3 linked regions of the Struthio camelus genome follow. The protein of the gene in region 3 purifies or fractionates together with the protein of the main gene of each other region. This does not show direct contact. Links are inferred from orthologs where the notes say so. Each region holds a gene or a part of one and is shown on either strand. Other genes may lie near its edges.

Region 1 (7,308 bases), on a different chromosome or scaffold from region 3:
ACACTGGACAAAAACAGTCTAGAGAGGTCCCCTAGAGGAGTCCACTCTGAAGAAACCAGAGATCAGATTCACGCTCGTCTTTTCTTCTTTTTCAATTCATATCTGATAACTCTTCCCCAGCCCACATAAGACTATGTTTAAACAGAGCTGGTGACAATACTTTGTTTCTTTCAAGAGAGGCTAAAGCTCCCTGCCCACCCCAGCATGTGTAAGTATGACACCTGCAGTGCCTGCTTAAGCAGATACATTTTGGTCATGAGAGCGACCCTATGGAAGTATGGAGTCTCCGGCTTCAGCAAAATGCTTTTGGTTAATGTTTATACATGGTACACACTGTAGGAAGCCAGATGATGCTTGTGACTGACGGACTCTGACACAAAGTCTTTCTTCAGCTTTGTCACTGCAGTACCTGCATGTTTCACCAGATGGTACTGTGCATCTCATCAGCTGATACTGCCTGTGACAAATCCCAGATTCCAGCCATGATCTTTTCGGTCTATAACCGGTAAAGTTTCACTCACACTAAGTACATTTCCATTCCCCGTGATCAATATGTTATTTAACAGCTGATCACTGGAACACTGTGTGCCACACACCAAACACGGGAAGCAGCTCTAGAAAACGTGCTAACTGCCACCACCAGGGGGTACTCCCTGGCCTAAGATTCCAGTAACATCATATTCAAACGGCTGTTAAGGCTGATTTCTGTGAAATCGTATCTAAGAGTTTCTTGTAGAATTCATCCGAAACCAGCGGGGCCAAGTACTTGCTGAGCTCTTGGGACATTTTGATGGAAGACGTTATTCATCAGTAGACAGATGCGTGGTCTGCCTGGATGCTGATGCTGTGGGCACACATACACGCCTCAGCACTCGAAGCCAGAGAATTTTCCCTTCCTGACACCTCAGATATGTATGAGGACCACAACACGAGAGCGTAGGCCTGAGTCCTCCCAATTAATAACTTTAGAATGCCTTCAGTGCTGTTTCAAACCCCTTCGCTCCCTAGAGGTGACCACAATTTTGACAGTTCTCAAAGGTTTTTGTTTTGATGTCTAATAGAGCCTAGTCTCATCAGTGCAGTAAGAACCATTCTGACCTTAAATGAAGGGCTGCCTCAGCTTTAGAAACGCAAGGCTTAGGAGGAAAGTCAGTAAGTTAACCTCTTGATTAGGGCAAGCACATTGAAGTCTCCAAAACATACTCCCTGGAGGAAGAAAAGCCTGAGTATTCAAGGCAGTGTTCCCTAATGCTGCAGCTCTGGCTCTCTGAGACGCAAGTATGTCTAGAAGGAGCACCGCAGCCTTTGCACTGAGGTACACAGATGAAAGAGAGCCCTTCTGAGGACTACCTGGCATGCTCACCTTGATCACAGAACAGCTTGAGGCCGTTCAGGCTGTGTGATCAGAACCATCACTTGCAGCATTTGTGGAGTGTAAGGGTAACGACCACCTCAGTAAGTATCAGAAATATTGTACATCCATTTGAAAACATACCTGTTTGACTGTGACATAACCCTCATTACAATCTGCTTTTAATTGTACTGGAAAAAAAAAAAGAAAGAAAAAGCATCATAAAACTATGTAAATAAGAAGGCCTGAAAGGCAGAGAACAGGCCTGCATTTTAAGCTTGTGTTACCTTCTGAGGAAGATTTTATGAGTACTTTTAGAAGAAGACTTTTGCCATGTTGTCTCAGTGTTTCCAGGATCACTGGTAATATGGGACTAGCCCATACGACTGAGTCACACCTGCATATTTCATATGGATCAGCAAAAATTGCATCAGAATAAAGGGGAACTCTATTGAAAAATTTTACAAGTTCTTGCTATTCCCATCAGCGCTCTGTCACAATATGGCAGGGAAAAGGGCTGTGTCCAGAATGGAAGTATAAGGCGGGGAAGGTGGAAAGCAGGGGGCATTTTACAGATCAAGATGTGATTTCTCCCAATGCGTTTATGAAATTCCAGTTTATGAAATCCCATTATAAATCAGTTGGTGGAAGTCAGGGCAGGACTAGCACCACTTGCCAAGTGAGAGCAAGGGCAATTGAACAGGACTATGGACCTGGGGACTCACGTTAGGGCTCGATACGTTAGTTTACAAAGATCAACTTCTTATCTTTGTTTCAGTAAGAAGGCCATGTTTCTTCAGATTTGTCAGAACCCAGAGGTCTTCCTAAGTGCTTGTAAGAAACTCAGTGGCTTTAGGAATCATGCAGCTCTGTGTATCATACTGAGACAAGAGATCAACAGCCAATGGATGCAGGAATAAGCCTACAGGAACCCCACTCAGATTTCAAGGAAGAACTACCAACTCCATTTCAACACTGCACAGAGCAGGCTTACAAGTAAGGCCAAAAAAGTGTTTCCGTGGCTTCACTGCCATTTAGCTGAGCAAAAAAATGAGGTTTATCGATCTGCATGACCCTATCGTGAGTGCTGCACTTGTCTTTTCACATGCTTGACAACTACCAGACTGGGAAAGCAGGACTCGTGCTCAGTCTTACCTTGCTGCCGGGAACACTTCTTATCTGTTATTCCAGTCTCGGGGCCACGTCCAACCACCACCGCTCCCAAGTGGGGCAGCCTGATTCGCGGACGGCATTGCTCTCTGGCCACCAGCCAGCACACGTGCATCACCGCCCTAGGGAGCGAGATAAACAGCACGTTAGTGACCGGCGGCTGCCCAGCAGGCTGGCTGCCGCCGGGGCGAGGGGCGTCCGGCAGGGCCTCCGACCAGCCTGCCGTCCCGAGACACTCCTGCTAACCGGGATCGCTTTTCGGAAAGTCAAGGCAAAGCCTCGCGGCCCGCCGTCCGGCCTACGCGCCGCCGTCGCCACCGCGGGCCCCGCCGGGCCTAGGCCGGGCCAGGCCAGGCCGCGTCCCCATGGCAACGCCGGCCCGCGCCCCTTACCGCGCGCCGCACCGCGCCGCGCCACGCCCCGTACCGCACCGCCGGCAGCGCAACGCGGCACGCCCAGCCAATCAGCTCCCGCCTCGCGGCTCACGTGACCTCAAGCCGCCCTCTGGCGCCAGCGCGGCGGCGCTATCAGCGTGCCCCGTGACCGGAAGGAGGGGCGTGCGCAGGCGCGCTGAGCCAGCGCGGGCTGGGGAGGCGCGGCGCGCAGGCGCGCTAAGCCAGCGCGGGCTGGGGCGGCGCGGCGAGGCGCAGGCGCAGCGTGGTGCGGTACGGCGCAGGCGCAGTGGGCAAGGCTGTGTGCCGGCGGGGCTGCGGCGACCGGACCGGCCGCCAGGGGGCGCCGCAGGGCGCTGCTGCGGGGCGGCCGAGCGCGGCGGCGGGAGCGGCGGGCGCCGTGCGCGCCCCTGCGCGAGGACGCGCGTGCCTTAGTTGCCGCTCTTTGGCTAAATATTCCGATTAAACCTCGTATTATCCTTAAAAACGGGCGCGGGCAGGCGGCCGTACCGAGGTCTGGCCAGCGCCGGCTGCAGGCGGCCGGAGCGCGATGCGAGCAGGCCCGGTTGGGGCAAAGGAGAGCCCCGCAGCGCAGCCCGAAGGGGGACCGGGCCCAGGGACCTTCCCCGGCGATCTGGGGGACGTTATCTGGATGTCCCACCTCAGCTGGAATATCAACTCAAAAGCAACGGTTGGGGAAGGAAAAATTAAAAAAAAAAAAAGAGGAAAGGAAAAAATCAGGATTTGCATTGTAGGCGCTTGTTCCGATACACATGAAATGGCAGTGGGAATGTTTTGACAAGATAGAGGAGTTGCAAAGGATTGGTAAGATACGGGAAAAACCAGTGCGGGTATCCCAGCGGTGGGAAGGAGCACGCTGCTGGCCCTGCCATCCAGGGCAGGGTAGGCAGTGAGTTGATGGTAAGCAACAGGTTCCAGGCAAAGTGTGGTGTCCCGCTTGGCGTGGGACCATCAGCTGCGATCAAAGCAAAGGGGCCGCCAGCATCCAGGACAACTGCAGGCCATTGTGGAAACTTAGTGGCAAAAAAAGCAGTGGAGAGACTAGCGCAATGGCTACCATGAGAGCGTGTCAAATAATCCAACAGGGCAGAAGCTCTCGTCCCATTAAGGGGGGGGCCCTCCAGCAGGAGAACCTGTGCAAGTGTCAGCGAGCTGCACTTGTAACGCTGGTAGTCATTAGGCTTCAGGGCAGCCAGCGCAGGTATCAGCTGGCCGGTTGGGGTCTCTGGCTGGGGTCTGTGGGGACTTCACCAGGGATCTTGCGTGCCTGTAAACGCTACGGGGAAGCAACTGCACAGCTCCGCTAGATGGCTGGGGTCTTTCGTGCGAGGAGGGGGCCTCACCAGAGATACAGCATGCACATAAACTTAACCACTACACTTAAACCTCGCATCACGGCCAGGGTCCAACCCTTGGCCAAATTATAAACTAGCTTGAAGCTGACCAAGGGTTCACAAAAAAACAAAAAGGGAGCAGCAGCTGGGGGGGCGGGGGGGGGGAGCTGGATTTGCCTGGCTCCTGAAGTCCTTGCTGCTCAGCTGCTCTATGTCGACTCAGCTGTGAGCATTCCCAAATCCTCAAGGACACAGCTCTGTGTGAGGAGATGGGGATTTATCCTTTTGCAAATGTACCCACAGTGTTATCACTGAAGGAGTATATTCAGGAACACGCCAACAACTTAACCAGCAAACTGTACTGGTCATAGAGTAGGCAAAGGGCCAGGAAAACAGGCTAACACCAAAGCCTGTATACTCTTGTTCCCTGGAAGCTGGAAAAACAGTTACATAAATTGCAAAAGGATTTCCTCACTTGAAAGGAAAAATCAGCCTGTATGATGGGGCAAGATATCAAAACTACCCCGTTTGGTTGAAAACCATACCTTTGGGAGGAAAAAGGTACAAATCTTAACTTTGTTACCCGATCAAAGAAAATAACACCTATCACTCACAGGGTGAGCGCAGAAAGAAAATGAAGTGATAAAGCCTCTGCTCACTTGCAGGAACAGTGAACAGAGACGGAAGGGTTAAATGTTTGAAGGTTGGAAGTCAAAGCTATTGGAGAAATGATAGCTGATGCCTGCCGTCCTGCTGCAGAGGCTAATCACAAGAATGTGAGAAACAGATAAGAGCCCTAGAAACACATTTGCAGAACAAGAAGAGGCCTATAATACAAAGAGCCAGCATCTTTGACTGCCAGCACCATTACAAGAAACCAGAAGCGGCTGGAAAATGCTTCAATATGTACTAAAAAATTCTGATCATAAAGAAAAATGAATATAAAGAGACAGTTCAAACTTAAGTAATAGATGGATGTAAATAATCTTAAGAGAAATGGTTTCAGTAGTTACAGTTAAAGCCAAACTGTAATAGCCTGATGGCCTTGGTAGGTCTTTTTGTTTTGTTTTATAAGGTCATCCATTGAAGAACAACTTGAACAGAAACAGCCAGACCTAAAGATAAAATTGTTCATTTCAGCAATGTGTGGGGTTTTTTTTAAACCAAGTGTGTAAGTAATGGAATGAACCTAGGAACCAGAGTAGAAGTAATATTAAAGGAAGATGGCATAGAAACGTATTAGAGAGTACTCATATCTGCCTGGTAACCAAGCTTAACAGCTGTATTCTAGTGTTTCTAAAAGTTAACCCGATATGATCTGAAATAATCTGTCAACACCTTCCCTTAAAAGGAAAAGAAAGAAAGGATAGTAAAATTATGCCTAACATCCCTGGATCTGTAAGTGTGAAGCTGTCTGTTTATTATCAGTAAGACAGGAGAGATGGAGGAAAGCAAAAAGGAAAAAAGGGTTGTGACCGATTATATCTGAAGCTCCTACGAAGGAAAATATTCCAGCCTGTGGAACAAAGATAATTATTAATCTTTGTTATTAATCATCCAAGGTTATGAATAATCAAATTAATTACCAAGGTGATGAATAACTGAATACCATCACAAGCCTATTTTACCTATAAGAAAAAAAATGTTGGAATAGTGCCTTTAAGACTGCAGGGCTGCCACACAGGAAAACACATCCAATTGTAATGTTGTTTATGCTAATTGTGTAAAGTATTGCCTAAATCTATGTGGTTACATACAGTGTACCACTTGCTGATTAGAACAGCCTATTTGGGGACTGACTCACCCTTTCAAGAACACCTGTGAGGCAAGAGCAGACCTTGCTGCGGCACAGCCTTATCAGTGAACACTCAGTCGCTGAGATTGAGCTGAGAGATGGCCATCTGTAGGGCCAGGTACCAAACTCAGGGGGTTTGAGATATTGCTGGATAGTCATCATATTGACCACACTGGACCCATTACAAAAGGTCAACCCAATTCAAGGGGTGGAAAACCCTACCCAAATCCAACCAAAGCCTACCTAAAAGCACTGTTCCAGATGAAGTTACGATTAAGCAGTAAAACCCTTAACTCTAGATCTCAAGTCCTGTGCAGTCAGTTATAGCAGGTAAGTGCACTAATAAATCAGACCACAGGTTCCATAGGCAAAGTATTTCCTGCCAAAAATACCTCTGCCTCCTTGTATACAGCTGACAGCTTGTCATGAGTCATGGTAAATAATGTCAACATTTGAAGGGGAACTGGCAACCCTGGAGAGCCTTTATTGGATGGCATTGACCTTAAATATCATTCAATCAACTGATTAAAAACTGAAAAGCAGGACAATGTCATAGAACTACAAGCGCTACATCAGAATCAACTCTTTATCCAGACTGCCAGGCAAATAGCTAATGCAGCTCCTGCCCAGTGGCTGGAAATCTGCGGTAGTTTTAGCTCCAGTGACACTGCTCTTCTACACCTATTCTCTCACCCAGTGTTTGTTTCACTTCTCACTGCCCTTTCATTATTAACTGCAGTAAACACTTTGTAAGAATCTTTCTAGTAGTCAAAAGGTTACTGGTGTAACCTGCAATTTACAGTATCTTTTGAAAGAGTCAACTGTATGTGCATCAAGGGGTGGAGTGTAGGAATCCTAATTGGAATGCTACTCTACATCAAGAAGCGTAGCGATCCACGCAACAGTTAACCTGAGTAGGCACAAGGCTATGCTGTGCTGCACGTACCCCTTGGCCGCAGGATGAACTGACATGGCTAATTGTAACCGAGGCAGCTGTAGGCAGCTCACACTTGGCACCAGCGATCACACCACCTGCAAGTCCTTATCTAAAAATGAAGCACCATGGTCTCATGTGAACATCCTCTTGCTGGACAGTGGGAATGGTGAATAGAACTGTTTTCTTCTAAGAAAATCCTGAAAGAGCTCCAGGGACCAAAACGCTGGTGAACCTCAGCATGGCCAGCGTGCCTTGTCCTAACAGAGAGATCCATCCAATGCTGTATCATCCTGGGGTTCCCAGCATCA
Region 2 (8,037 bases), on a different chromosome or scaffold from region 3:
CTAAATGAGGTGAGGAAAACACCACTGACGTTTTCAGAACTGAATTAGTGGCTAACCAAGAGATTACTGGAAAAGGTCTTTAACCAATTTATTAAACAGAATGGGAGTGTATGTCCAAGAAAGCACAGAGGTCCACCTATGGCTATAGCTATACCGCTTTTTAGCATGACTGAGTACATGATCCTGAGACCAGACTCTCACATCTACGCTCTTAGAATACAAGACCGCGCATACTTGTAGTGCCGAGACAACCAACATGCAAGGAGATGACATGTTAGCAGCTCTTAGCACAAATCTAAGCATACCCTTTTCTGGAGAACGGATCAGTCAAACACGCTGTGGCCAGATAGCCTTACACCACACATTGCATTTGGCCTGCAACACTTTTCACATAGACTGTATTGGGCAGATAAATGGTCTAGGGAGTCCTTTTCAAACATCTTTAGTAAGAATGCCAAAAGAGCAGCTGGAATTTATAAGCAGCCCTGAGCTCAGACTGCCCTTCTGTATTCTGGATGCCAAGCCGCTGGCATCTTGTTCAGCAGCAGATGCCGAGCTACCAGTGTCCTAACGTGAACATACGGAGCCAGGTCAGGGAAAACACCGGACATGCTTTGTAGCCTGGCACAGTGTATCTTTCTAAGCACATTGTAGACAATGCTTTTATTTAGATCTAAAGGTTGCACTGAGTATTCAGAGTGAGACTTTGGCTGGGACAATGACAGGAAAACATGTGAATGAGATGAGTTTCGAGGTATTTGTAATACAGTTTACAGCCAACAGATTTTACTACCTTAAACTACTATTCCTGCAGTACCCTTTTTGTTTGAAACACCTAGGATCCAAATGTGCATTTAGCGAGCTGAATGGTTGTTGATATATCAGAGAGCATTTTAGATCAGTTTAAATAATTTGGGTGCAAAGGGGACCATTGAATCAAACTTTTAGAAGAAAAAATAAAAAGATCTCCCACTGACACGATCCCCACAATGCTGCTAGTTTCCAGAAATTATGACTTGTATATGCTGATAAATGTATTAGATTTACTTTCAATATCAGTCCAAAATTCAGGTTTATCTTTCCATTTTCATGCTTTCCTAGTTACCTGTCTCAGAAGGTTTAATTTTAAACAGTAGCAAGTTCCGAACCACTAAGAATAGCCATATGAAAATAGTATTTTATAAAAAACGAAAATAAAATGTTGTTATACTTCATCAAATGATTTGGAAAAAGCAAGTGCAGTAGGAATGTGATTCAAATTTGTAATTTGCATTTCCTCCAGTAAAGAGGTTTTTGGTGACATCTTGTGGGAAAAGTTAGTATTACTTTTTATTTAAAGAACAAACAGAAACCTGAGCTATAAAAATGACACATTAGCTATTTACCAATTTACTAAAAGTGCAGGTGATGCTAAACAACTGCCATTTCTACTAAAAAATTTATTTTAGCGTGTACAATGGTTTAGGAAACAATTTTGCCGCAACTGAAGTAGTAACATATACACACCATTTCCTATTTCTTGGAAAAGCTCTTGAAAGTACTGTGTCAGGACTGGTTTTAGTGAATTCTGAGGAAATACAAGTGCTGTTACTGTAGTCTTTTTGATTTTAGTTGTTTTGACAACAAAGCAAAATTGACATTAAAATACTCAAGACCTGGATACTACAAATCACAGTTTAAGTCCTGTGCTTGGCTCCTATCTGGTGAGAAAGCTATGTTTCTCAGAACTGGATTAAAACCACCAAACTGCTGAAGAGAACACTTGCAAGGCCTAGCCAACAATGAAATACAAAGGATGTGGATGTGCCATACCCCACAATTAATACACATTAGTAAAAGCTACAGAGAAAAGCGTCTGTCAATTCAGTGCTCTCTCAGTATTTCACAATGAGTGAAAAATTGGAGAAAGTAAACAGTTCCTGGAACTGGGACCACTTAAGGAGCTAGCAAAAACGACAGGACCACAGAATCGCTCCTGGAACAAATATCATTAATTAACTTTGTGTAGCTGCACAGACAGAATGGTCTACAGCCAGATGGTCAGAGCCCTGCCTTGAGAGACAGCAAGAGTGACTTGCCACTTTTTCAGGAAGAAATATCTACACTTGAATCCTCTTGTCTCCTGGGAGTCCTTCACCTTTATTCTCTTCCCAAGCAAGAAACATCAATGACTTACACACAGAACCAGTCCTTGTTTGAATGCCGTAACCATGGTTTGAGTACTCCTACTGGAAGAAACATTTTGAAAATTTAAACAGAAGAACAAGCTAATTCTCATATACTGACTACACACAGGTATAAGCCAGATAGACTAATATAGTTGAAAGACTGCCCAGGAACCAAGCATTAATAAAGGCATATTAATATCAAAAGCAAGGCTTGCCTGTATTTAGGGTGCAGTTTAGGATGAGGTCTGCCATTCTGTGCAGCATTTAGGGTAAGGGGAAGCTGAGCATTTTTTCATGTTCAGAATTCAGCAGTTAAGACTCAATTTAGAAGCCTAAGTTATTTTTAGATCTGGCCCTAACTCATTTGGAAAATGTTTACCCACAGCTGAAATACATCAGAGATGACTATTTTTACACTTTAGTAAAAGTGTTTTTTCACTTTAACTGATGTGTTCTTTATGCTCTTTTTGAGATCACTTGCACAGCTACAGTAGGGACATAGTTTATAGAGGTGCATTAAGCCACACGATTTATCCTTTATCTTCCTGTAAGTACGCAACACATGGTTTCTTCCAATAAACCTTTCTTTTCTTAATATCTTCATACAGCTATTGACTTATATTGTCATGACTTAAAAAGCCCAACTTTCACTTAAAAGCAAAATCTCTTGTTAAAAGCATATCTCTTGTTAAGAATATGTGTTTGTTATTATGACATGCAGTAGTTTCTTGCCAAATAGTACCACACAGTAAGTAAATGCAGTGCATCACTAGTAAGAAACAATAATTTGGATCTCATCTCCAGCTTTACAATAAGCTCAGTATAGCAATTATTTCATGCATCTTGTACACGTATATAGCGCAGTACATCCATCTGCTAATCACAGTCTAGAGCAATAACTCCTCAGTGGGAAAGGTAGTGATTTGATTATTTTCTTTCGAAATAAATGCTCTCAGATAACAAAATTTCTTTAAGAATCTGGAAGTATTTTGGTTTCACAAAGCTAGTGTAGTCGGCTCCAATCAGTACAGACCAGTCTGTAAAGAGTGTCCTCACTGAGTCATTGACATATCCTGAATCTTCAGAATATAAATGATAGAAATACATACTTTTGAGGGTTTATAACCAAACAGCATTGCTACGGCAATTTTAAAGTCCTCTCTGCTTAAATAGCCTTTGTTATCTTCATCACATGCTTCAAAAACCTACAGAAAAAAATATTTACATTAAAAAACAATAAATCTGATCTGAAATACAAATTTTTACTTAGCATAACAGTTAAGGGAAAAATAAAAGATATTTACAAAACAAGCTACAGAAGATTAGTCCTATTTCAGTCAGAAACCTTGTCTTACACCAGCTGAAACTACTATGATTAGTCTATTTAATTTTAAATTTTTGGTAAGTTACAATAAAATTTATTCTATTTCTGTGTTTTATGCACTTAACAAAGAATTGCATACATATTCTGTAGCAGCATATCTGGTACAGAATTGTAGACACCAAATGACACTAAATTTTGTTTCTACCAGATCTTGATTTTTTTCTTGAGACATGTCAAGCATATTTAGTTCTCACTAAAGCCACTCTACAAGCAGGAACTATGAGATGGAGAGACTGGAAAGCTGGCATAGTCAAAAGCTGGCAAATTTTCTCAACTATTTTTAGAAGAAAATACACTTTCCACACTATATGCCTAGATAAGAGATTAAGCATATAATATAGAAATACAGAAATACCTAATTCTCATAAGAGGCTTTCCCCTCAAAAGAGCTTTAGCAAGCACTGATAAGTCGTTACATGTTTTCACATTTATGTTGTAGCATTGAAGAGCATATCCGTAAGTTGTTTCAGGAAGAAGCATTACATGCAATATTATGTTGGAATTCTGCAGAAGAGTACTAAGGAAATTACACGAACAAGTGGAAGTTTCATTAAGGCGTTGCTAGGTGCAGTTTGCTGATTTTATTACACTCTGATACAAGACACTTGCATTATTTGTTAACTGCAGTCACAAGCTGGTAATAAATTAGAAAAATGAGAATCAAATGCTCTGACAGTTCACTTTGTTAGCTAGAGCCAGCTGTGATGTAGTCCGCGCTCTCACTGTGATTAATTGTACACCTGTTTTCCTCCCACTCCCTTCTTTAGCTTGTCATGCAGTTATCTCAACAGCCGGGCGCTTCAGGCACAGTAATTAACACTGAGCTGAATGAACGATTACGCAAATACTACACCTGCCCTAAACTAACACTAACGCCCAATGAAGAGTTACTAGATTAATTCCCATCCCCAGGACGCGATAGTTTCGCCGCGGCAGCAGCCGTAACAGGGCGCCAGAGCCGCCTTAACACCTCTAGATACCCGCTGCCCCTCTGGAGGGACGAAAAAGCTCTTCGGGAGTCACCGGGCACCGACGGGACGGAGGACGGAACTCCCCTCAGGGCCCGGAGGCGGCGGCGGGCACCCCCCGGGCGCCGAGCCAACGCAGCCGCCGACAGAGCGGTGCGGAAGCCAACGGCGGCCCCGCTCCGCAGCGCAGGGACCCGCGGCCGCCGGGGGGGAGGCCAGAAGGGGCCCGGCCCGGCCCCCGCCGCCGCCGCTCGCCCCTGCCCCGCGAGGCCCGTCACGCACCCGCGCGTAGCGCGCCCCTGGCGGGGGCCGGCCGGCCGGCCCGCCCGCGGCAGCGGGCCCCGCACGCTGCCTAGCAACCCGCGCGCCGCCGCCGCCGCCGTCTATTGGCGGAGACCCGAAGCGCGCCATTGACTGGGGGGCGGGGCAGAGCAGAGGGGGTGGAGCCCGGCCGCTGCCGCCTCTTATTGGCTTGGCGCCGCGCGGGCGCTAGGGCTTGGGGGAAGCTGCCGTTCTCCGGAACGGAAGGGGCGGGCGCAGGCTGCCCGCGGCACGTTGGCCGGCGGCTCCAGCGAGGTGAGCCGGCTTAGGGCGCCGCGGCCGTTGGGGCGCCGCGTGCTGCGGCCTCGCGCCGCTTCGGCGGCCCCGGGGGGTGGCCGGGACTGTCGGCGCGGCTGAGGGCCCCGGCGGCGGGCGCGGGGCGGCGGGGGCAGGCTGGTCCCGCAGGGGCAGCTGGACGGGGGGCCCTGGGGCCGGAACCGGCTGTCTTATTGCAGGCTGTGGAGCAGTTTCGTTTATAAATGGAGCTCGCTTGCCCACAGTCTTGTTTTCGGTGGAGTAGCTTTCGTTTCTCGCTGTGGGTGGAGCACTAATAATCTGTTACGCCTGTGTTTCGGTTCTGCCCCTGTGTCTCTCTAGGATAGTGTGCTAGACCTGATGGTTGGGTTTGGCAGGAGAACTATCTGTGATGAAAGTCGTTCCTCTTATTTTCTACGCGTGCTCCCCTTCTAGCTACTTTTGTGTGTGTGTGCAAGTTTGTGTGCTAGCTGCTTCTTCTTTGATGGTCGCTTCTGCTATGAGTGTTTCCCCATCTCCTGGGTGCAAAAACAAATAAGCTCTGTATGCTATAAAATATATCCTAATCAGAAGTCTAGAGATCCTGTCAGTTAAGAAAATCATAAAGGTCGTGGAGATGAGCGAATGGATGCTAGGAAGGAAAAACGGTCTTGAGCGCAGCAAACATGGTACAGCTTCATGGGTTTTTTGTCTCTCCTCCCCCCCAATCCCCCCAGGAACATGCTTCAGGAAGGAGCACATGGAAAATGGACAGTATCTAGCAGTGATGAAAGTACTGAAGAAAACTCTGATAATGAGAAGCCATCTACATCTTTGTTCTTGCCTGCTGTGCATGGCAGAACAAGTGGGCCACAGTATCCATGCTCTGAAGCTAGGAAAGCTGCTCACAAGAGAAAAGCCTCTCCACTGAGGTTCAGTGAGAACAGCTTTTCTGCAGAAATACGTCCAGCAGAAAAACAGAGACCTAGCCAAGAAGGTTTAGGCTGGTGTCTTTCTAGTAGTGATGACGAGCCTGAAGATCAGGAAAAGCAAAGGCACAAAGAAACGGTGAAAGAAGAGAAGGATTATGCACCTAAAGAGCATCCTCTGAGTTTTCACAAAGATAATGAACTCCCAGAGAATCAGAAGGCAGAGGAGCATTGTGAAGCACCCAGCGAAGCCCAGGATACTTGGGATTTGTTGAATGGAGGGAACCCTTTCAGATTTTTCCTGACTAAAGTCAGAGGAATCAAACAGAATTATAATTCGGGTGCCCTACACATAAAAGGTGAATAGATGAGTTCTACAGAAATGGGCTTTTTGAGAGGCTTGTGGGCAAGAGAATGCCTTTTTTTATAATGCATGTATTCCTTGGTGTAACTGAAGCTTCAGATTCTAAATATGCAAGTTATAAGAATTGGTTCTGTTATCTTCACCTCTTTCTTTTAGAGGTATAGTGCATGGCATAAACCTGTTGATACTGATTTTTTTTTTCTTACAACTTCTGAGTTATGCTACACAAACTTATGTTTGCTTATCCAAGGTGTATCATATGGTGCTTATTGCTGCTTTCCATGTGAGTTCATTTGGGGAAATCCACTTCCCTTTGTCATCTTAAAGGGATGTTTTTCCTGGGTGCATGACCACCCTCCCAGATTGGTTTGGACCTAGTAATTTACTGTTACTTCATACTGTGCAATGTATCATTTCTAGAGTCTTGCTGCTGGAATTTGTAGTCACTCTTCAGTGCAATTGAAAGTAAGCATAAATCAAGATGAAGTCTTCAGTGTACAATAGCAATATTTCAAGAGTACTTTGTAACTTAAGTTTGTTGTAGCTGATCTGAAGGGGAGGAAAAGCTCTGCACACCTATAAACATCCACTCATTCAGAAATCTCATGCATCACAAGACAGCAACAAAAGCAACTATTAGTTGGGTGTTTGTGCACAGAAATCTAGTGAAATGGGATATGAATTTCTGTAGTGTTGTGAGAACATGTAATTGAAGACCATACAGTTAGGTTATGACTGTTTACCTGATATGTTCCCTGTGAGCATTTGCAATGGAGGATGACGTGATGTCAGAGACATCAGTTGCATTATGCTGTACATCTTTATCTACTTTGTGAATGTACTGTGGCTTTTGAGCTTCCTCCTGTTAGGAGTGCTTACTGTGCTAGGTGATTCCCTCAACTTGGGGAGAGGCTACGTTTTTTGTTTAATGGGCCAAATGAGATTTTTTTTTTTTTAGAGGAAGGGCATAAAATATGATGTCTATGCTGGAACGTATATGCAGGGTGTATTTTCAAGTAGCTGCTGTGCCTCGATTACTGAGGTTTTAAGTATTTGAGCTGTTTAGTGTTTTGTGTTCTTCCCAACAGTAAAATAGATTAAGGGTATGCGTTGCCCTTTACTCTGTAATCGGTCTGCTACGTATCTCATTTTAGTTGCAACTTGAGTTACTATCTGCCCCCAGCCTGCATTGATCAGCACATTCTCAGACAAGACTCTGGTCAGTTTACCTTTCCCTCTCAAAATGGGGAAGAAGAAAAACATAGAAAAAGGGGAGATTGGAGGCTGTCTAGAGAGAAGCTCCCAACAGATAAGTCTTTAATTGTTAACTATGCTCTTATTGCTTCTACCTGCCACTCTTCCTTAAGCAATCTTTCTGGGGGAAAATAGTTTGTCCCTTTCTCTGTATACTTTTGGTCTCTCTCCTAATGACCTTTTAATTGTATTTTTTGTTTTGACAGGGGTTACTCTTTTTAGGACCATAAGACCTGAATTACTTCATAGCAGCATCAGTGACTTGAGTATTCAAACTGTTAGATTTAGTCATGAATGTCTCTGTTCTGCCAAGCCTGTGGACATTGTGGTGCTCGTGTTGTAGTAGTTAAACTGTTCAAAATGTGAAATGTTTGTTTGTTTTTAACTCAACTGTGCTTTAATATTTTTCAATAGA
Region 3 (7,533 bases):
CTGTTTCTGAATAACTGTATTCTGAAGGTCATTTAAAAACTTCTGTACCTGTTCTTTCTGTGTTTTTTTCTGCAATGCCCAGTCTCTTGAAAGTAACTCAGACAGATAGCAAAAAAGTCTAAAGAAGAAAAGTTGGGAGGGAAACCTGTTGAACAAATGGTGTTTTGTTCTCTAGCCTCTGCAATGTAGCTCTGAACATCCCAGAGTAACCATACATTGTTTTCTATGGACAAACTAATAGCTGTCATTTTCTTAGCTAGCATTTTTAGTTACCAAGGCAGAGCAGAACCATGCCCAGCATGTTATACTATCTCACAAGTCACAGAAAAAATTAGATTGGAATGTACCTCCAAAGGTCTCCAGTCCAAACTCCTGCTCAAAGAAGGGCTAACTTCAAAGTTGATGAAGATGCTCAGGGCCTTACATAGTATAGCATAACTGTGTGAGTTAACTGCATCAAAAAAGAAACCTTTACGTTTTTGGTACAGAATGATTGTTTTACTAAGTGCCACTAAGTATTTTTCTGACCTCAGGTGGGCCAGCAGCCTTTTAGCAGAAAAGAACCCATGGTATCTTTCAGCGAACCAGCAAAGCACTCAAAATAAGCAATCATAAAGCAATTAGGTCCATTAGCAGTGGAGTTAAGGCTAGTTCAGGCTAGTTCTGTACGTTAATATTCCTCATACCAGTAGCTTTTCTATGCAGCTCCTCACCATGTCCTCATCACCTCTTTTCATAACATTCTCCAATACCCCTCCATATTCTCATCTTTTTGGCTGTGTGTGTGGCAGCATGCGCTCTGGCTGGTTCAGAGCTACATGTCTGCCGACTGGCCAGTCAGTGCCCGCCTGCTGACTGGCTTGCTGCTTCTCAGGACAAGGTGCTGAGGAACAACCATTCTCCCTTCCATGAACATTTAGATATTTTTTATAAAAGTACTTCAGTTAAAACTAAACCATTTTTTATAAATTAAAAAAAAAAAGGTTAGTCAAATTAAAACACCTCTGATGCTAATATTAAAAGAGAAGCAAAGTATTTCCCAGAATCAATTTATTAACCCCTACCTGTGAAGCCAGAGAACTTCTTTGGTGATGGATTGACAGTACTTAGTGGATCTTTCTTGGGACTGGTTATTTGTCCAGTGGCAGAGAGCTTAGCTTGGACTGTTGCTTTTTTCTTCGGTGTACTTGCAGCCTTGGAAGTAGCTTCTGTAAACAGCAAAGTAAGGGTTCAAACTGGCAGTCAGAGATAATCTGCAACATCCCCCAGCATATAACATAAGCTATTTTGCAACACGCAAGTCTTAAAACAACTAGAGGTTGAGGAAGAAAAAATGAAGGAACATTTTTCGAATAGCAGAAGTTAAAAGGTTACAGAATTTGCTAAAGTTCATGGAAAAAGATGAAAATGGAAAACAGCTGCTGTTTCTTGGTGGGATTTATCTGAACTTTAAGCGTCTACATATGACTTAAATCACCGAGACCTTCTGCATAATCAGTTGCAAGAAATGAATTAAGAAGTGACTACTTCTTTGTCTTTACTATAGGGCTGAGACATAGATTTGATCACTCCCCACCTTTTTATCAAGTCATACTAATGCGTTAGTGAGGATTTCATGGGAAATGCATGATGATCAGTGGCATACCTTGTGGCCCAAAAAAAGCAGCCCACGTCCCTCCTTGTGTCTCACCTGAGATGTGCTTGTTGATTAATTCTTTCTCATCATCTTGTAGCTCTTCCCAACCTTCCAAATCTGTGATGTCTTCAATTTTCTTGGTGGTAGCCCGGGCCTTCTCTAGCTTCTCAAACATGCACTTCACATGGTACCACTCCTTCATATCCCCACCAGACTCCGTGAAAGGGTTGGGAACGATCTTCCCGATACGCACCATCCCCTTCACAATCTTCTCCTTGCACTTCTTGCAGCCTGCTGTGCCACGCTTGGCATAGTCCACGCAGTACCTCTGCTCTGCCATGTCCTCTGCAGCTGTGCAGGCCTGGCGAGGCTGAGCATGCAAAGATGGGGGCAAACGGAGACCTCCAGCACCACCACCCACGCACCAGAGAGAGCTGGTCCTTGCCAGCAGCTGGCACCAGAAGCTGGGGCTGGCTCTGGGGAGGTCAACGCAGCAAATGAGGGGTCCTGGCAAGAAGGCCCGTGCGTGTGGGAGGCAGAGAGCTGTGACCCTGCCGAGTGCCCAGGCAGCCTGTGCGAGTGTCCTAGTGCCTGTGGGCATCCAGCCTGCTCCAAGCTGGGCTGCAAGCAAGGGAAGAGACACTGAGCCACCACCCACTGGCCTACAGGCCAAAGGGGGCCTGTGCCTCGCGCCTGGCCTGCGGGATGTGGGGCTGGGGCAAGGTCTCACATAGATCCTGACACCTCCCCATCCTGGGCCTGCTCCACAGCCAACTCTCCCCTTGGGCCCTGACGCCTCCAAGGGCCCCACTATGCCAGAGCCTGCCCCACAAGTGCTCCTCCGTGGGCCCCAGCCTGCCCAGACCTATTCCACAGCCCCTTCCCCCCAGGCTCCCAACCCCTCACACCTGCCCCACAGCCCCTTCCCCCCCCCCAGGCTCCAATCCCCCCCCACACCTGCCCCACAACCCCTTCCCCCCCACAAGGCTCCAACCCCCCCACACCTGCCCCACAGCCCCTTCCCCCCGCCAGGCTCCAATCCCCCCCACACCTGCCCCACAGCACCTTCTCCCCCCCCCCCGAGCCTGCCTCAAGGCCCCGTCCCCGTCCCCGTCCCCATCCCCGTCCCCCGCCACAGGCCCAGCTCCTTCCCCGGCTGCTCCCAGGGCGACCCCGGAGGTGAAGGCCTCACCCGGCTCCTCACAGCGCCGCCATTTCGCCCTCCCTCAGGCCGGCGCCCCCCTCTCGCTCCCCTCCCCCCCCTTCTTTAGGCGAAAGCCGCCGCCACCGCGGTCCCTTTAAACTCGGCCCTCCGGGCTTCCGTAGAGCATGACGCAGGCGCCCTATTCTGCCCATGCGCTCTATTCCCGTGTGTAGCGCGCGGTGCCGGCCACAAGCCCCGCCCCCGCGGCGCTAGTCACGCCCCCAGGCGGAGCGACCCCTCCCGCTGGGCGCCCCGGCCCCGCCCCCGCGGGGCGCCCCTCCCCCCGCCGCCACGCGCACGGACAGCGGGCGAAGGCGCGGCGCGGCCTGTGGCGGCGCGAGGCGCTGCCCTGCCCCGGCCCCCGAGGCCCGCTGCGCCCCGTCTGTGCCGGCCCGCAGGCGCTGCTCTGCCCCCGGCCGCCCGAAATCCGCCCTCCGAGGGCGCCACGTCGTGTTCGCGCAGGGCCTCCTCCGGGCCCCGAAGATGGCGCTCCCAGGGCGCTGCGCCACGTCTGCGCCGGCCCCGAGGCGCTGCCCTCCTCTCGGCCGCCGAAATCCGCCCTCCGAGGGTGCTGCGCCAGCTCTGTCTCCGGCCGCCCGAAATCCGCCCTCCGAGGGCGCCATGTTGTGTTTGCGCCGCGCCTGAGGTGCTGCTCTACCCCCGGCCCCCGAAGATGGCGCCTCGCCTCGTCTCTGCCAGCCCTGAGGTGCTGCTCTACTCCCGGCCGCCAGAATCAGCCCCGGAGGGCGCTAGGCTATCTTTGTGCCAGCGCTGAGGTACTGCTGTATCCCCGGCCTCCCCAAATCAGCCCTCCAAGAGCACCATGCCATCTTTGCGTGGGGCCTGAGGCGCTGCTGTATCGCTCAGCCTCCCAAAATCAGCTCTCCAAGAGTGCTGTGCCGTGTTTGTGAAGGGCCTGAGGTACTGCCATATCACCCGGCCTTCCCAGAGCAGCCCTGTAAGTGCATTGGGCTGTGTCTGTGCAGTTCCTGAGGCGCTGCTGAATCACCCTGGCACCATGAAGATGGCCCTGCGTCCCAGCGCAGATGGGTGTTTGCCTGCAGTTAGGCTGCCAACTCTCTGGTGGTGGCAGCTGTCGCTGTTTCTCCTTATGCCGTGGTGAGAGTTCTGTCATGCTGTGCCGGGAGGCTGCTGAGGAGGCCGGTGTGGATACTGTATGCACCTCCGACTGGATACCTGCCTTCCTGCAGAAAAAGGGCACTGTGCGGGTTGTTGTGGCCTGACTTGCTTTGCCTGTAACGAAGTACGTCTGGGGCTGAGTATGACACGTAGGGTGCAGGATTTGCTTCACCAGGCACATATGCCAGTCCTTTTGCTGCCCTCCAACTAGTTGCAAAGCTGACTGCAGGCAGTCTCCCTCATTTTCTCAGCACACTAGTTGTCAGCTATAGCAATCATGCTATTTTCAGCTGTGGATGACTGAAATGACTGTGTTCTCCTTAGACAATTCAGGTCACAAAGCTAGGATGAAGTTCATGAGATAAGCATTTATCTGATCAACAGGATCTGACTGCAGAGCAGTCGGTCTTCCTCTTGTCCTCATTTAGGGTCTGTCTTCAGGGAATGGTGCAGTACTATCCTCTTGGACAGTGTATTCAATCATTGGTATTGGAATAGAAACATACCTTCCTCTCCCTCACAGTCCAGAGGTCATGAGAACCCTGAAACGAAAGAAGCAAGCTCCTACAACCAAACTGAAGTGGAGCTTTGAGCCCCAGGAAGGGAGTTGTAAAAGGATTCAGAGAATTTACTAAGGACTTCACAACAGCTGTTAGAAGATGCCCAGAATGCACTGTGCTTATGTTTGGTCACCCTAAACGAAGAGTTATGTATGCGTTCAGTACCTAGAGCATGCATTTGGCAGACTTGGAGTAAAGGTATGTGTGCAAGTTTAATCCAGTTAAATTTTTAAAATTGTAATAGATCAGGTTGCTTTACCAAAAAATGTACTTTGGGAAGTGGCTTACAGAACCAACAGCAACTGGTGCCAGTTTGCCCAGCAGTGGCCTCTTTGTAGGGGAAGGAAAAAAACAATCCAACCCAGGAAGAAATGGGGTGGGTACACTGTTCAGAGAGAGCTGGCAGGGAACGCCGGCTAGCGCACTGCATTCACAGCATCCTCTTTGGTGAGAGCTCTCATTCACTATGTTTGAGCCTAGTAAAAGAAATGGAGAGGAAAAATGGACTCAAGGGCTGACACTGAGAGTCACTCACTGCAGTGTACCGTAATCTGATTTAAATAAGGCAGCTGCTGAGCGATCTCTCACCAGTAGGATTCACTTTCCTAATTTCTAAAAGTTAGCAATGTGGTCTAAGCTAGGCTCTGTGTATAATCAATAGAGGAGCCTGCAGAGGCTTGACTTAGGGTGAGATGAATTGCCCTCTGGCTCTTCTCCGGCTGGAGGGGGTTTAGAAAGCGGTTTGGACAGGTAAGTGAATAGGTAAGTGATAGGAAAGTTTTGACTAGCGGGGGCCAGAAGGCCCTTGCGTATGGTCACTGCTCTTAAGTTTTCAACATGTGCAGTTTCTTCCCCTGAAGTTACGATGAGCATTCATTGTTCTTCTGAGTGCAAAAAATATGTTTACAAGCGGAGGAAGTAAAATTGTTTGGAGTTTTACAGTCTTATTGGAATGAAATCCTCTAACTCCCACTTTTGCCAAGATGTACCTTCAAGTAGCTATGAATAGAGCAATATATCCAGTGTGTGTCTTTCCACAAAACTGCAGGACATTGAGTTCACAGAAAGCACAGAGAAAATGAGGAAACAAATTGCTGCAGTTTCTCAAAGGATCAGTGAAGGATCACTTGCTGGTCTCTCTTGAGAGTTAATACTGGAATTGGTACTACTGGAATAGTTAATAGTGAGATGAGCCTCTTATGAACATAATGCTGTCTTTGTATGTGAGTCATCAATGACAGACTACTAGAGAGGGCCCCTGGAAAATACAACATTGTTATTACTAGTTTATTCCATTAATACAGAGAAGATAATGCTGATAAGTCAGATTTAAAGGACTGAGTCTGTTCATCCTTAAGCAAAGTGGCCGTCAGTTCTGTTTGAGTTTGAAAAATATGTGAAAGCAAAATGATGGTCTCAAGTTTTATATTTTTTCCTCGTTGTTAAGAAGAAAAAACAATTTTAGGTGCTTCATCTTAAACTGGTGTTGAAAATATTTCATAAAAAAAAGCTCACCTTCTTCAGATCTTCTGGAGATACCTTTAAACTGATGTGTTTTTGGACTGAAATTAAAGCCTTGATGCAAGACTTCTTTCGAATTTACATTCCAATGAATCCAGTCTTCTTGGTATTAAGAAAATGTCCAGAATCTCACTAACATCAAATAAAAGGAGGAAGATGTTTAGAATTTTAATAACTGCAGTGAACAAATGTGTCTCTTTGTATAGCTGCTAAAGAAGATACTGAACTTGGACGTGTGGTTTATTAAAATAAAAGAGATAAGAGAGATGGAGATTATAGAAAAAAGGCATATATACATGAAATACATTTGAAAAAAAGGGAAGTGATGTCAGATAAATAACAGATCAAGAAGCCATGTAAGGAATCTCAGTAGTACTTATTTGCATATATACTTCTTGGCAAGACTTACTTTGCTAGGGCTTTGAAAGGAAAAGCTACTATTGAGTGGTACATGGTAATTCAGTCTGAAATGGTTTGCAATGCCTTTGGTTTGAGAGGATTTCTGGATTCTAAATGTGTGAAAAGTTTCTATTTGAATGACTTTTGATTTCTTTTTATGGTCAGCTTCACATGAATGAAATTTCTCACCTACTAGTCAAGTACCTCAGTGCCTGCACAACACTTGAAGTGTAGAAGTTGGGTGTAGCTGGAGTAAAATCACTTACAAACCTCTTTGTGGTCCTCACTTGGGTGACGTGGGGGAGAATATAATCTGTTACCAACTCACAAATCAGTTTGTATTTCTTCTTCTTCTTCTTCTTCTTCTTCTTTTTTTTTTTTTTTTAAATTATGGACTCTAAAGGCATTTCCTGGAACCAGAAGTGTGACTAAATATGATCTAAGATGTAACAAAAAATATTGGCTCTAAAAAGAATAACTGTTCCCCTCTGTAGGACGTGTTATCAGGTGTATGTATAGTAGCCCACCCCTCCTTTTCCTCCATGATAGCACTGTCCAGGATGCTGCATGTGATTCAGTGCATACAACCACATGCAGCCACATAACTTCTCAGCATCCTTGTTGCCATCGCAGTGACATGCCAGCCTAGGGCTGTGACAAAAAGATGAAGAACATGGTATTATCCTGAAATTGGTATATACAGCCCTCTGCAGAGGAGACAGTTTTGGAATGTGAACTCTGTCCTTTAATCAAAACACAGCAAAAGTCTGTCTGTCCTCCTTATCACATCCCAGCTGTCTTTCTGAGGGAAAATCTTGACATTTGGTGCATGGAAATTGTGAATATCTTGAGTACAGAGAAACAAATGTGAAATTTGTCATTTCTAGTACAGGTTACCCAAAGATTCACGGAAGAGCCACAAAAAATATGTCAGAGATTTCCAAAGGTGTTTAGGAGACACTGATGCCCACTTGCTGTTAATACTAATGAGAAGTGAGTATCCAAATCACTTGGATGGGTTTTGGAAAGTCTCAGCTAGATTCATTTCTTCTTGGAGAAAATTATATTTGACA

Evidence for each region.
Region 1: the proteins of LIG3 (region 3) and APTX purify together in Homo sapiens (affinity purification with mass spectrometry; 3 studies listed by BioGRID and IntAct, with this or other methods). This does not show direct contact. The link is inferred for Struthio camelus from reciprocal best matches to the Homo sapiens genes LIG3 and APTX.
Region 2: the proteins of LIG3 (region 3) and TDP1 purify together in Homo sapiens (affinity purification with mass spectrometry; 4 studies listed by BioGRID and IntAct, with this or other methods). This does not show direct contact. The link is inferred for Struthio camelus from reciprocal best matches to the Homo sapiens genes LIG3 and TDP1.

What each region holds. Positions count from the first base shown.
Region 1 is NC_090982.1:10,368,273-10,375,580, reverse strand, and holds the start of APTX (aprataxin), read right to left. Parts: upstream 3,028-7,308; 5' UTR 2,914-3,027; exon of another isoform or gene 2,768-2,913; intron 2,644-2,767; 5' UTR 2,637-2,643; coding exon 2,507-2,636; intron 1,543-2,506; coding exon 1,496-1,542; intron 1-1,495. UniProt on the Homo sapiens protein: DNA-binding protein involved in single-strand DNA break repair, double-strand DNA break repair and base excision repair.
Region 2 is NC_090946.1:64,624,969-64,633,005, forward strand, and holds the start of TDP1 (tyrosyl-DNA phosphodiesterase 1), read left to right. Parts: upstream 1-4,986; 5' UTR 4,987-5,096; intron 5,097-5,812; 5' UTR 5,813-5,816; coding exon 5,817-6,363; intron 6,364-8,036; coding exon 8,037-8,037. Other genes in the region: EFCAB11 (EF-hand calcium-binding domain-containing protein 11), read right to left, coding at 3,278-3,304. UniProt on the Homo sapiens protein: DNA repair enzyme that can remove a variety of covalent adducts from DNA through hydrolysis of a 3'-phosphodiester bond, giving rise to DNA with a free 3' phosphate.
Region 3 is NC_090957.1:14,942,385-14,949,917, forward strand, and holds the start of LIG3 (DNA ligase 3), read right to left. Parts: upstream 3,070-7,533; 5' UTR 2,829-3,069; intron 2,258-2,828; 5' UTR 2,238-2,257; coding exon 1,691-2,237; intron 1,209-1,690; coding exon 1,065-1,208; intron 1-1,064. Other genes in the region: PHD finger protein 7-like, read left to right, coding at 4,693-4,738. UniProt on the Homo sapiens protein: Isoform 3 functions as a heterodimer with DNA-repair protein XRCC1 in the nucleus and can correct defective DNA strand-break repair and sister chromatid exchange following treatment with ionizing radiation and alkylating agents.